Linked DNA regions of Drosophila melanogaster. The protein of the gene in region 1 interacts with the protein of each later gene in a pairwise test. Each region holds a gene or a part of one and is shown on either strand. Other genes may lie near its edges.

Region 1 (7,899 bases):
ACGCCGCAGCATCACAGCACGCCGCAGCACCACAGCTCGGCGCAGCAGGGTCCGCCGACGCCGCAGCACATGCAGCAGCACGTGGTGCACATGCAACAGCAGCAGCAGCAGCAGCAACAGCAGTCGCCCCATCCGGGCCACCATCCGCAGCATATGCAGCAGGACGTGGTTACATCGAGCAGCCAGGTGGTGCACAGCCAACAGCAGCAGCAGCTTCAGCAGATCTATCAGCACCACGGGACGCCGGAGCGTAGTTGAGAATCACTGCATGCTGCGACATTAATGGGCAGCACCGGCGGTGGAGGAGGTGGTGGGGTTGGTGGAGTAGCAGCCAGCACTAGCGACGGCACGGCGGCCAGTAGCACGCCCTTTGCCAGCATTTCGGCGCTGGTCAGCGGACCGTCCAGTGCCCCACCACCGCCGGTAACTGCCAGTGGCTCGTCGGCAGTCAGTGGCGGCACCAGCAAGCGCAAGAAAGCCAATAAGCAAAAGCGTTGAGAGCAGGAGGATGATCAGCCACACAGGGAGTTGGAAACAATTGCGGGAGTGGCCAGGCCCGAGGACATCAAGTTTAGATTTAATTGCAAGCACTGGAAGCGCAAGTTGCGGCAGTTTCATTTGCTATTGTCCAAACAGTAGTCAGTCAGTCAGTTAGGAAGGTACACACATATATGAATGACCCACAGACAAAAAATTCCCAAGGGTAGGATAAAGCAATCACAAAACCACTTTTCAACTAGATGGACATTAATTACACAACCGAGATGTGTATAAAATGTAAATATATAACGAAATATGCTTTATTTACATTATACGGAACATAGTTATATAGGTTTTAGGTTCGCGAAAGTCCTTTGTTCTAGTTAGGTAAGGTAAGGTGGAGAAAGAAGAAAGTTAAGAAAACATACCTTGAACGTAAGAGAATGATGAATTTTAGATTTGCCTCTAGACTCGAAAGTTAATGGATTCGTTTTGGGCTCGCAGTTTTAAGAGCACTTTGTTATCAATGGATATAGACACGCGTATTTATTTTGGTCTCGCGACCATTCTGAGAACCTTGAATCGGCAGTTGATTGTGGAATTTCGAACTAGATTGTTTTCCCTTCAATGTGCTTATGTGCTTTGTTATAATTTTCGCTTAGTGTGAGACTGAAAGTGCGCCTAAAACTGTTGAAAAACCCCATGCCCAATATTATAGTGAAGACGCATAAAACACAACCCATACATGAATCAAATGCTTTATAACCATATTGTTTGAACAGATAGAACGAAGTGGGAGAATACCTTAACGTAGAATTAAACCAAATTATCAAGGTTCTAGAACTTAAATCATTAGCTTGTAACGATAAAAGAAAGCAAAACGAGTTATTTGAATTTTACTGGAGGCGTCCTGAATTTTGGATTGTATATTGATTTGATTTCAACTGAATTAAGAATATAGCCAATAAATAAATGTAGAAATGAAGTAATTGCAAGGAATCAACAAATGGAATGTATTTTTGAAAGAACCGGAAACAGAAGCAGCTGAAATTAGCGAATCAAACTGCAAATGTTGTTAATACTAAGCTCTTAAATAATGTCCTTTGAAGTCACATTCAAACAAAGATTTAAAACAAGCTTGTAAGAAAAAGAAACCAATAAATACACACGTATATATATGGATACAAAACACCTCTAATTGAACTGTAAAATGTCTTAGTGTAGCAGAGAATGAAAGTAGTTATAGTATACATTTCTTTAAAAAGCATTATTCGAGCGAGTTTTGGATACTACCCTTCGAATCCGGGGTAGACTTGATTGGTCTATATAAAAATCCGACAACAAATTTACCACAATGGGAAATATATTCAAAATTTTGAATTAGAAATTTAAAAACGATAAAAAATGTATAATAGCTTCCACTAGCGTATCTACATATTTAGGAATCGGAGGAATGGATACACCTAGTAAACACCCATCTGAAGAAACTTCAAAACTTTTTGGTTTCATCTCAACTATGCGTGTGCGGCGAGCACTTGGATATCTTTGTATATACATTTGAATAGATTTTTTTAGTTGTTAGCTGACCTAGGGGAACAGGTATCTGAATATTATAAAAATCAAATGTTGCAAATTAATTTATTTTAGCGTTATAGACCCGTAGAACTGAATGCAATATGCTTACCTTAAAACTCAACATAATTTAATTCAATTCCTATTATCTTTAGTTGGATTCATTTTAATGTTTTATAGCAAAACTGTATATCATTGTAAAATAATTAAAGCATACGGAGTAGCAACTACAAGAGTTAGAACAACAATAAATGAAAATATCATTATAACTTTGTTAAAATTGTCGCAAGAGCAATTAAAAAATGAACCCAGCAACTTGAAGAATCGAAAATGAAGGCGAATCACAGAAACGTAAAAATAATAAAAATATTACATTTAAAATTTTAAGCTAACTAAATGTGTAAGAGTAAACTTTAACCACACAATATTATAGCACATTTCGGATTATCAAATATGCATATACAGCAAATATCTATTATAAACGGTAAATGTAAACCCAAAAAGGAAACACTGAAACAATCTATGTAACAGCCGAAATAGCGAAAACAACCCATGTAATAAACAAACAACATTTAATGTAATATTGGTATAACGTAATTTTTAAAGTGAGGTACTATAAATAAAAATTATTGAATAATTACATAAAATGGCATATTTCTCATTTTATTTGAATTGTAAGTGGGATTAATTGTACTAAATTTAACAAGTTCACTTAATTCTGGATTCACATTTTTATTATGGATAACAAAGTTTATTTAAGATGGTTATCACACATGTTTGTTATTATTTATTGTTGTAAAGCTAGCAGTAATGGAAACGTGAATTATGCTTTTTTGGCGCTACCGGTTCAAATTTAACCGCCTGTAAAGCTTTGCCTCTGTTAACCTGATCTTGGCTTAGGCAGCCACTGTCTTGGCCAACAATGTTAGGCGAGCTTTTCTGTTAGGCGGCTCTCCGCTCAGCTGGCGCATGCTCTCCCACATGTTGAACTTACTTTTGACCGTGCTCACCTAGAAGCGGAAGATGCCAGTCAAAGTTCTGCTTCCCATGTGAACGGTGGTATTTTGTATTCCGCGTTCCGATCGTCTGCACCGATTCCTTTCGCTACGCAGAAGATTTTTTACCAAGAAAAGAAAAAACTTCGCAGACTCAGCCCTTTTCGCTGGCTTCAGAAACAAACTTGGTTTTGGAAAAGTAATTTGTAAGTCTTGGCTATAAACAAACAAACAAAACGAATCGCAATAGTGTCGAATGGGAATTCCAGCTTATCAGTGGCAAATGAGCCTGAGCTAATTGATTAATCAGTATTAATCTGTTTATATTCGATTTAAATCAGCTCAATTGAAAGTGATGACTTTGTTAAGTGAAAGTGATATGATGTGTCTTCTAATTGAGTGTGAAATTTGCAAATTTACTTTCCCACTCGCGAAATTTGCTTGTACATTTGAGTATGGCGGAAGTGTCAATTCAAGAATTCGCATGATTGCGAATAATTTTCGAAAAAAACAGGACTGTGCGTTGAATTAGTAATGATAGGCGGAAAAAGTGGGGCTAAATCGGGGCAACGAAAGCACGGCCCAAAAGTTAACTGCATAAACAGTTTATTTTTGTATGCCAGAGGACAGCTGCAAGTTCAAGTGTACAAAACTCGTAACCCCCATGAAATTACATTACGCATGATACATACCAACACACAGCTATAGATGTGTGTATACACATATATGCATGGTACACGGGAGTATGACGTGGTGTGCGAAAGCCCGTCGCTCAACACGTTCTAAAATATTAACTTAAAAGACAACAGCAAAAAAATACGCAACAATAATAACAGCTACCAAACAACGTGCTTATTAAGAGAACCCACTGAGGGGTTATAAATATTGCGAGTGAGCGTTCTCGGAAGCAGCCCCCAAGAAAAGCTTCCTCTCAAGAGAGAAATGCTCTCTCCCTCTCTCTCTCTCACTCTCTGTATGCAAGACAGCTGATTGTCAGAATGTTGGCCTCAAATACCCTTAGACAACACCCCACCTCCCATTGCCCACCCAGCAGAAAACCACCTCAAACAGCCCACTTTTGTTTTTACAACAAGTGCCGCTGCTGGCGAAAAAGTGTTTGCTGATGTTTGCCATGTTTTTGGCCATTTGAACTTGACAGTAGGAATGTGGGTCTTGGCTATTCGCAAGAAGTGTGACCACATTTCGGGGTCTGCTCTAGAATACTTGACCTTGAAGTCCACGAAATTTATTTCGTTTTAAAAATAAACACCTGAAATGACATATCTCAAAACTTTCTCGTGTTTTCAACCAGTGGCAAATTGTATGCTCAAAACACATTGATGATCATGACTGATTTTGTTTTAACATCTTGTTCATGCTAACGTAAGAATATGTGAAAATTTTTGAAAATTTATAAATTGAACGCATCATTTAAATTAACATTTTATTAAATAGCAACTCAGTTGTCAGTATTTGTGATGGACGGCTCTTCAATTAAACGAAAAAGCCTTAAAAGTTACATGTTTGATGGTGTTTTGATTGATTGCCCCTAGCAATTAGAAAGTTGAAGCAATCACTATAAAATTTTTTAACAGGCATGACAAATAATTAAAGACCTTACGCCAAATAAAAACACAACCCACAACAGGTGCGATCGAATCTTTGGCTTTGAAACTTCGATTGGCGGCTTGAAGTGAGATGAGTAAAAAAAAAGAGTATGTGTGTAATAAAATTAAAAGCCAGTCAAGTCAAGTGGCGGTGCCTGTGTGGCTGTCATAATATACTTTGTGGCAGATGGGAGTCTTGTTTGCTGTTTTCGAGAGGAACCCAACCAGAGGGTGGGTAGTAAAAATAGACCTTCAATGTTACTAGTTACAATGCTTTAGCGTAAAGCTGACACACGCATGTTGGGGAGAGGTCCAGATGGACTAAATACGGCTAAACAAAACTAAAATGAGCTTTTATTAGTTAGAAAAAAGGAGTTAAATGTTGATCTCAGATGATATAAATCCGTCTTTAGCTTGTAAAACCTATTTGTCTTATAAAAGGCGAACCAATGCATATGCAATCCAAGAGAAATGGTTTTTAATAACGTATATAAAATGCATTCGAATACATGCTTTGCCATTCACCTGTATGGGGTTCCCTGTAAAGTATACCACAATTTATCTAAGTTAGTATTGACTTAAAGTTCGCGTAAGACAAGTTGGCCTGTGTATCCTTTATCCTGAATTATTCAGCAAGTTTCTTTACCTTGCAGTTTGCTGGCATCCCACACAACGAACGACCCGAAAATCAGTTGCTGGGCAACCCCTACTAAAATAAGGAAAATCGAAACGGGAGGAGGACCCACGGAAACTTACACGCAAGTGAGTAAATAACTGGCTGTAACTGACGGTCGTTAGGTGAAATTATCAATTATGCAATTAAAAGGGGTGGAAATTGTTGAAGCCGAGTATCTCAGCTGAGAGTTATTAAAACTTACGCCCGCCGCATTTATTGATCTAAATTAAATGCCAAGGTTGGAGTGGTATTAAAATAGTTGAACTGGTTGGTTTAAGAACCTATGGACATAACGTTGTTTAAATAGTTCTAAGGCTTTGTTGCACTAACTTTAACCTCATGTTTGAAAACCATACATATTGTACATATGTGCTCACTTCTGAAGCAATGTGGAAATGCCCTTAATAATTTATTCCTGAGTTGCTGTTTGAGTTTCCGTTTTTCTCATTACACATTTCATTTCCGTTCCCCTCGGCCCAAAATGAAAATGTTACAGGGCAATCGGACGTATACGTAATATGCTAATCAACTTTTGTTGCCAACAAGCTGGCGATAAACCAAGTACAAACCCCAACCTTTTCGAACAACTGTTGCGAAAGTAACTTTTTGCATGTGAGTGTGTCAGGATAACAGGGCTCCTCCTTCGGATGTAGAAAATCAGCCCAGTCTTAACCTTCCCTGTGGCCCTGCGCCATCGCCTTTGCCTTCGCCCAATTGACCCTTAACCCTTGCCTTGGGTTGTCTCTCACCTGATGGAACGTAGCTTGCTCAGGAGTCAAGGGCATCAGACACACACTCATGCAAATTGCATGCCTGATTTCACCAATTGATTGCATGCAATTGTTTTTTCCTTCGACTTCCACTTGTTTGCTCATCCCGAGCCAAATCCTTGCAAAGCGAAAACAGAACGAATGCGAATGTTAAGTAAGTGAAAGTGCTTAAACATTATTCAGTAGTGTTTCCAGCAGGTTGCTTCAAAAGAGCAGTCCTTGAAAATGTGATTCTCATTTTTGGAAACCCAGTTCATCTGTTGCACATACGTAAATCAGAGCTGTCATGTCCAAATGTCATTTTTGAAATGCATACCCTTTCAATGGGAAGTAATCAGGAGTCAAATAAATGAATATATAATAGTATTTTAGATCAAATAGTAATTGATTTTCTTGCATAAAGTAATTCCACTGTTAAAGTTTTCAAGGTTAAATCCAAATCTCACGAAGTTCCCTAAACTGAATATTTCATTTTGAGCAATAAACTGAATGAAAATAAACAATATTTTTGCGAGAGTGTCTGCAACTTTGCTATCGAAGCGAATTCCAAATATTTATGGCATTTGTTTGGTGTGCGCGAATTGTGAAATGAGATTTTGCGGTTGCCACTTTGTGTTTCATTGGATGTTTCTGCATGAACGCTTAATGGGCATATTAGTTTGCAGTTTGAAAAGTGGTTGCGGGTTAAACAGCACTTAGCTGAAATATGAAATTAATTATGTCTGGTTCGTTGGATTCGATTAAAGTTACAATAACATTGACACTAATATACGCAACTCAATTTGATGGGCATTAATTAGTGCTGCAGGCAAAACAAACTGTGTGCATGTTTAATTAAATAGTCAACTGTTTGGCCTGTGGCTACCAACAACTGCTCTTAAAGTGAGTTGAAGCTGTAAAACTCACTGGTCACGAAGTGGAGCTCTTGAAAATGCAACCCATCCGCCAGGCAATTTGCCATTTCTGAGCATTTCCTGACCGGTTGCAATTCATTTCCCATGTCCTGCCAGAATCCACAGCTTACCTTTTGCCGTCAGCTTAGTGTACGACCTGAAGAAGATGCCCAATCGCATGTGACCTTGTTTCGCTCGGCCAACGCTGCGTATGAGTATTGCATAGATCACTTTGTTGATTTGCTTGTTGCTTTCCCATTATCAATGTCAATGTGCTCTTAAGCAACTCAGTGCATCCGTGAGATACTTTCCGTCTCAATCTCTCTGTATCGGCGACTGCTTTTGAAATTTTGGCAGACAGAATAAGAGCAATTGATGGGGATTCCCGTTCTTAGGTCGTGAGCAATTTATCACATTGTTGCAAAATTAATTTCCTTCTGTGCTTTATATGCAATCACCTCTCTGTGCACTTTTATGCTCTCAGCCTTATCATTGTTTGTATATTTATATATATATTTTGCATCGAAGAAAATTATATTCATTTTGCTTAAGCAATCGCACTTGTGTTTTGCATTTCAAGTGGTGCGGTTCTCGTGTTGTTTTTATATTTAGCGCGATATTACGAAAGTTACCTTATTGTTTTACAAATCGAATAAAATAAAAATGCACCTAAGCCGCTTGCGTGGTTTGCGAGGCGTTTTGTGAGTTATACAAAAGATATATTTTCATGATCTGACACCTCAGTTTATTGTTTGCATTTTTCTCCCTTGTTTCGGAGACTCGAGTGAAGCAAATTGGCAGCTGAAAAAAAAATGCTATTCAATTTACATTGTAGTATATACGAACATAATAACAATAATAATAACAATAATAATAATAATATTAATAATAATTATAATATGAATC
Region 2 (6,702 bases), on another chromosome or scaffold:
AATCCAGAGCAGACTAAAGCTCACCATGGTTGTTGAATACTTAGACACAGTGTCCTCATTGTATTTCACTATTTTCACCCCCTCGATTTTTCTTTTATTTTCTGCTCTGGGCCTGTGTAATCCCTTGGGCGCATTTGAAAAAAAAAATATCAGCCTTGCGCCTTGTTGGTTTTCAATCAGATTTTGTTTTTTAATGTTTTGCTGGCAACAAAAGCTAATGATTAATAACAAGCTGGCAGCAATAATCCTCGATTCCCCTGGAAATATGTTGCAATTATCGTGCATCGCAAGCAATAAAGTTCATTGTAACACCTAACCCTATTCTTAAGTTAACCTCTAAAAATCTATATAATATATTGAACGCTGTTCATATATCCCTCTTAATAAAAACTTCTTTACTAAGATATATACACAACGCATATTGTTATATCTTTTGATATTGGGTAACTGTGTTTTTTCTGTTTTGTAGCACTTACCCAGCCCAGTAAAATAGTTCATGGAAAAGTTAAAGCAAATCTATTTCTTTTTAATTGGGATAGTCGAGGTTCTTAAAAATAGAGTTCCCCCTATGCTTCAATTTTTAGTTTAAAAGTTTAAATTACTACAGTTAACTTTTGCTTTTATGATATAAAAAATGAACACATAAAATTTCATAGCCATGGGGCGTTGTAAAAAAAGTTTGTAAAGGTAATGCTGGGAATTGAAAAGCAATAGTCAACAAAGAGTACATAGGTACAAAACCATCGGTCCATACCATATAAAAATTCAAAAGCTCTGCATGCTGTGCAATACGAAATAAAATATGTAGATCGCGGACTCATGGGCGTGACAAGTACAACTTGACAGAGGCTGAAGCAGTCAAAGAGCCGGTGACATGTCGTCACTGTCATCACAACTTTAACAGGAAGCCACGCCCACTCAACAGGTGCCCAGCTGAATTTACTAAAAGCGTCAAAAACAAGAGCATAGACAGTAACATCTCAAGTCAATTCTCCTGTCAACAGTCTCAGACAATTTACTCTAAAAAGAACATGAGCGCTATAGTCCATTTTCTCGGTTTATAGTTTTCGAGTTCTTTTCATACGGACGGAGGGACATTCGAACATGACTAGATCAATACTGAGCTAGAATATAGATGTAATGGGTCAGAAACGCTTTTTTGTTTATTATTTTGTCTGATTTTATAAGTTTTCACGTGAAAGAAATTATAGGAAGATAATCACTTGGGAAACATTTATTATTAGTTTTAATGTTTTCTTCTTTCCAGTGAGAGCAGTTTTTTTCGGATCATGTCTTTAGCGGGTGTATAAGAAAAGGCCTGGCACACATGTTATAAATATGCAAATAATTATTTAGGAGCGTGGAATGCTGGCGACAGCGATTATATGAACGAGCAGATTAAGTCCCTTTAGGCACTTTGCCGTCGTCGTCCCGTGGTCTAGCCCAATCTATTCGCCATTGGTCATCTGGCCAGCGGGTAGGAGGGAGATTCACAGAATTGGGGGAGTGTAGGCTTCCCAGGTAAAAGTGGTTACAGTATGTTTTGTCAGAGATTTTTCCCGTTGATATTCCCGCTTTTTATTTACACGTAGAGTAAAATTGTATTCTAGATTCGTTGTAGCATTTTAGACCCTATGACGTTTATATATACATACATACATATACATACCTTCCTCAGGATCACTAGCCCAGATCTGAGCATGTCCCTTTGTCCGTATGAAAGCAGTTTTTTAATTTAATTTAGTTTTTTGTATTGTCAATTTCTATCCAATTCAATTTCTAGCCAAACAAATTTTGCACCGCCCTAATTTGCCCATACTTATAAAACATAATTCTGAATTTTATTTATTGATTTATGTTATCATAATGGGTATTGGATAGTCGAGTTTCTTGTATATAACGTTCTCCCTTCCTTCTATTTGTTTTTTTTACTTGGCTTTTGACCCAATGCCTTGGACCTTGTTCTTATTTTTTGTTTGCCCTAGACTCGTTGGCGTCGACTTTTAGGTTGTTGCACTTTGGTACCACAGTTATCAAAATTTCGATTGCTCTATTTTATTGCTGTATTTTATTTTGACCGATACAACTGCAGGATAGCCCATGTGTAAACAATCAGCAAACCATTTGTTATATTCCTGCAGTGAATGAAGATTAATTTCAGTCATAAAAAAAGAAAGGGAAGGCTACCGGAGAGGTGCTAAATAACTCCGCTCTCTGAGATAAATTATGCGCAATTTCTCCTCTGCAAACTTATTCAGCACCTTAAAGCTTAAGTACTCCAAACTAAGCTTTCGCGGCTTAAAGCTAAAAATCTTTATTTTATGATAAAAAGCTCAATTTTATGAGCATGTACTTTTTTACGTTTTTAACATGCCGTTTTTTTTTTTAAGAAGGACTTGGACATCTGTATAAGGCAACATATCCATGTGAATTTACAAGGAGAAAACGATTCAGTCGATCTTGTCGGCTTACAGATACGTGTTACTACTCCGCTAGAGGAAGTGCGTTGGAGTTGGATATATGTAGATAACATATCGATAGATTTACAAAATTAAATTTTCAAATGTGTCGGCGTGGCAGTTTTGGGGGGTTTGGGGGCCTTAGAGTGGGCGTGGTAATATTTCAACAAACTTGCGCTGGTTCTGTCTCTAGAATATGTATGCTTAATATAAACCTTCCAGCTTTTATAATTCCTGAGATGTCGACGTTATACGGCCGGACAGACGGACAGTGCCAGATCGACTGGGCTATTGATACTGATCAAGAATATATAAACTTTATATGGTCGGAAACGCTTCTTTCTACTTGTTACATACATTTTCAACGAATCTAGTATACTCTTTTAGTCTGCAAGTAACGGGTATAAGAAGTATAATTTGAACTGTATAAAGGTTAAACTGTATGTAGGTTAAAGTACTTATGCGGTAAATGAATCTTATTTCTAGTACTTATCTAATCATCCCACATTAAAGCAACTGATTAAATAATACCATTGAAGATTGCACACATTTGTATATAGAGAGTGGGAGAGAGCGATATCTTCCTCCATATGGGTATCCTAAACCTGCCGACTCACGTTTGCCGGCATGACAGGTTGGGTTACCCCATTAGCTGAGAATTTCTTTTTGATGAAGCAATAATCGAAGGAGTGTTTTCTTTTGGATTCGTATTCGTTTGATACCGCTGTGAGCCATAAAATGTAACCCATTAGGTTAGTATGGTTGCGATTATAATGGTGGTGTCATCATCATTTAGCCAAAAACCTGAGATTTATTCCACTGGTCCATTCATAAAAGGCCATCATTTGAAGCTTAGATAATGTTTAATTAATAAATACGCGTTTTTCGTATTTCAATGGTACTTTTATCGTATCAGATATTTTTTTTAATATTTCCATATTTTTCTTCTTCCAGCAGATAAAGGAAAGTAGTAGATTTAGTTGTCCCTTAAGTTGTGATACAACGATAATTGAATAAAATAAGAACTGGCAATTATATATGCATTAAGCTGTTTACGAGCACCAAACGTAGCCTACTCTGGGTTGGTTTATTAAATAGAATGGCTTTCTTACTTTTTTTTAGATCACGTTGCTTTGCTGAAACTGTCAGTATTTGGACTTGGCTATCACCAGCCATATGGCAAAACATCAGAAGTAAAATTGTCTGTGAACACACAAAGCACACGAAAAAATCTCGGAAAAAAAACTGTACAAAATTTAACTTCGCTCTCGACCAGATTTACAAAATTTTTTTTTTGGCCAAACTTAAAATTAGGAATACAAGAGAACGGTGTGTGTACCAAAATCAAATCGTGTTTAGCTAGTTGGTGAGTCTTATTGGAAGCTCGGCATATTCCGAATATTACTGAAATTTTTTCCCCATTTCCGAATTGCATTTGGTTTCACATGACATACGCACACAATTGGAAGTCGTAATTCTATATGTGTGGGACAGTGTTTACTGAGTATTTGGTTGGGGTTAACTTAAGAATTAATATTTTTTTTTTTTAAATGCGTATTTCAGACGTCAGGATATATGCTACTTTGATTCGTTAACTATTTTCAAGTGATCGGAAGCAAACGCAGAGGCATTTCTAATTTGTGCGTTGCGCGACTTTCAGAGATCGTAGACTCGATTAACCATGGGTAAAAAGGGCAAAGGAAAGAAGGGCAAGAAGCCCGCCGCAGTTGTGGCTCCCATCGAAGCGCCACCATGTCCTCCGTGTCCGGAACCACCAAAGCAGATGCAACCACTTGACGCTTGTCCAGAGTCTAGCGGACCCCACGATGTCCTTCGGGCTCAACCGAATCATTACCCGGCTCTTCTTCGTATTCCGGAAACAATGGCGGTGGTGGGCTCTGAGAATGGATGCTACGATAGCATTTGCAAGCTCCTGAGAGCCGGATTCCGGTGTGCCGAGCGGGTTTTCGTGATGGCCCCTTGGGGCAACTACGTGGTTTTCCGGTATCACAACAATAATGACTTTATTTACTTCCTGTTTGATGGATGCACCTGCGATGTTAATAGGTTCCGCTATCTAGACCTCAGCTGCGGAACTGCTGGATTTCTTTTCTTCGATAATATGCACGACGTTATTAGTTATATTATCCAGTCTCGAAAGACGCGTCTATATCTGGAGAATCTAAACAAGATTGCCATTGATCAGATTGTGGAGGAGTATGGCGCTGTAACGTACACCCAAAAGGCAAAATGCATGCGATTCGCTTAAATAGGTCCCATATGATTTCTAACAAAAGAGGGCAACGCATACACAACGAGGATAATACTGGACGACAAGCTTTGCTCTAAACATTTAACATATTTTGGCACAATCTTTATCAATAAATAATAATCTCTTTGAAAGCAACTAAAACAAATTTGCATAGCTCTAATACCAATAGCGGTGATAGCGATATACCAAAGCGTTTATTTTGCATGTCGAAGTTAATCCTTTTGTAGAGTTTTGCTGGGAAAGTTGAGGTTAGCGTACGATCAAAAGAAGTTAAATAACAATAGTCGACATAAATTATTGCAATATTACTGTGGATAAAATACAAATCGTAAATATAATATCAAAAATTAGAGACTTACAGGGTGTGAGAATTTTGTCAATTAGAGTACAGATTCCAAGTCGATTAGCGTTCGATTAATTCCATTCATTTGAGTGGTATGGAAATTATGCATGTGCATCATTTTGCTAATATTCGGCTCAAAAGAATGAAGCGGAGGATTCCAGCTTAACGTGCACAACAAATCCCTCAAATTATTATTGCTTGCTACAAAATGAAAAAAGAAGAAACCCAATAGAAACAAGGTGAACCTTCCAAGTAAGGGGTCAATTTTTGGAGGCCCATGGATTGCGAAAACCGCAAAGCATTTGCAATAAAGTGCCAAACAAGCGCCGGCCACACGATATTTGAATATTTATAAAAGTAGTCGACTTGTTGATAGATTATGAGATGTTAAACTGAAAAATTTTATTTTTCAAACAGATTTTCAGTATTTGAAAATGTTTATATTATAACACAATTAAATTGTTTTTAACATCTTAATTAATTCTGAAATAATGTTTAAAGTTCTTACATTTTTATTAACATCTTAATTAATTATATATATATATAATATAATAGGTTATTAGACAGACCGTTACTTCTTATAATTTATATATTGTTATTTTTTAGTGGATGCGATTTGTGAGCAATATATATTTACTTGACATTTGTCCGGGCTACGAGAGAAGGCTCGGCTGGTTAGGCCACTGTTTCGCCGGTGTGTCAAGTGTCCGGTTTCCCTAACCATAACTCGTGTACCCCTCCTTAACTCCCGTGAGTACCTTTTAACTATCCAAACTCCTTGACTAGCCATGTCCCATTTAACATTTTACAACGAGTAGCGTATTTGTATGGCTGCGCGGCATTTTAAGACCCAATCGATCGGAGGATCGAGATTGAGGCACGCAAATAGAGTTAAATATATAATATTTTAACTCCAAAAGTTTATAGTGCACACTAAACCATTTATTAACCCCAAAAAAAAAAATGTATATTCTCGACGAACATCCATAAAGATTTGTGCTAGTACTTTTTTTTGTCCAGTGTAAATCGAGGGAAACATGGGTCGCAGATCGACAGACAAAGACGAAGGTATCTATTTTCCGAAAAATATATATACTTGCCCTTTCACGTTGTCGGCAAATGTCAGCCTACCATTTATATAAATGCACACCTCACCCTCAACTATTTGCAGACTCAAAAACTTTGTCATCTCCCCTTTTGAAGCTCAAGTAAATTCCCCAAATGTACTTGCACCGATGACCCCGCTCGAAACTTTTTACTTCTCGAATAATAATATTTACTAACACAAAAAATGGTTTCGTCTTTTAAATGATTAGTTTTTTTTATTTCATTTTAGGTTTTATGAATACATTCCTTTATACCAATACCATTATCTTTTTTCTTTATAAGTGGCCTGGACTTAGATCATCTCCAAAACTTTTTGCGCTTTGCTAAAAAACAGCAAATTCGCTTCTATTGTTTCGGTCTTGGGTTTTCGTTGATTGAATTTTTGGTTATTGCGGTTACCTTTTACCAGCTTTATACGCTGCATGCAACATTAGTCAATGACACTCGATGCTGGATGTTGATGTTGTTGTTGCTTAGTTGCCAGTTTGCAACATCATCTTGCGTCAGTCGCTGACATGATT

What was found.
Region 2: the proteins of CG11883 (region 1) and CG12470 interact in a two-hybrid assay, tested with the Drosophila melanogaster proteins (2 studies listed by BioGRID).

What each region holds. Positions count from the first base shown.
Region 1 is NT_033778.4:10,614,584-10,622,482, forward strand, and holds the start of CG11883 (uncharacterized protein), read left to right. Parts: upstream 1-3,078; 5' UTR 3,079-3,253; intron 3,254-5,307; 5' UTR 5,308-5,416; intron 5,417-7,619; exon of another isoform or gene 7,620-7,694; intron 7,695-7,899. Other genes in the region: psq (pipsqueak), read left to right, coding at 1-258.
Region 2 is NC_004354.4:304,068-310,769, forward strand, and holds CG12470 (uncharacterized protein), read left to right. Parts: upstream 1-3,616; 5' UTR 3,617-3,825; intron 3,826-4,022; 5' UTR 4,023-4,140; coding exon 4,141-4,728; 3' UTR 4,729-4,868; downstream 4,869-6,702.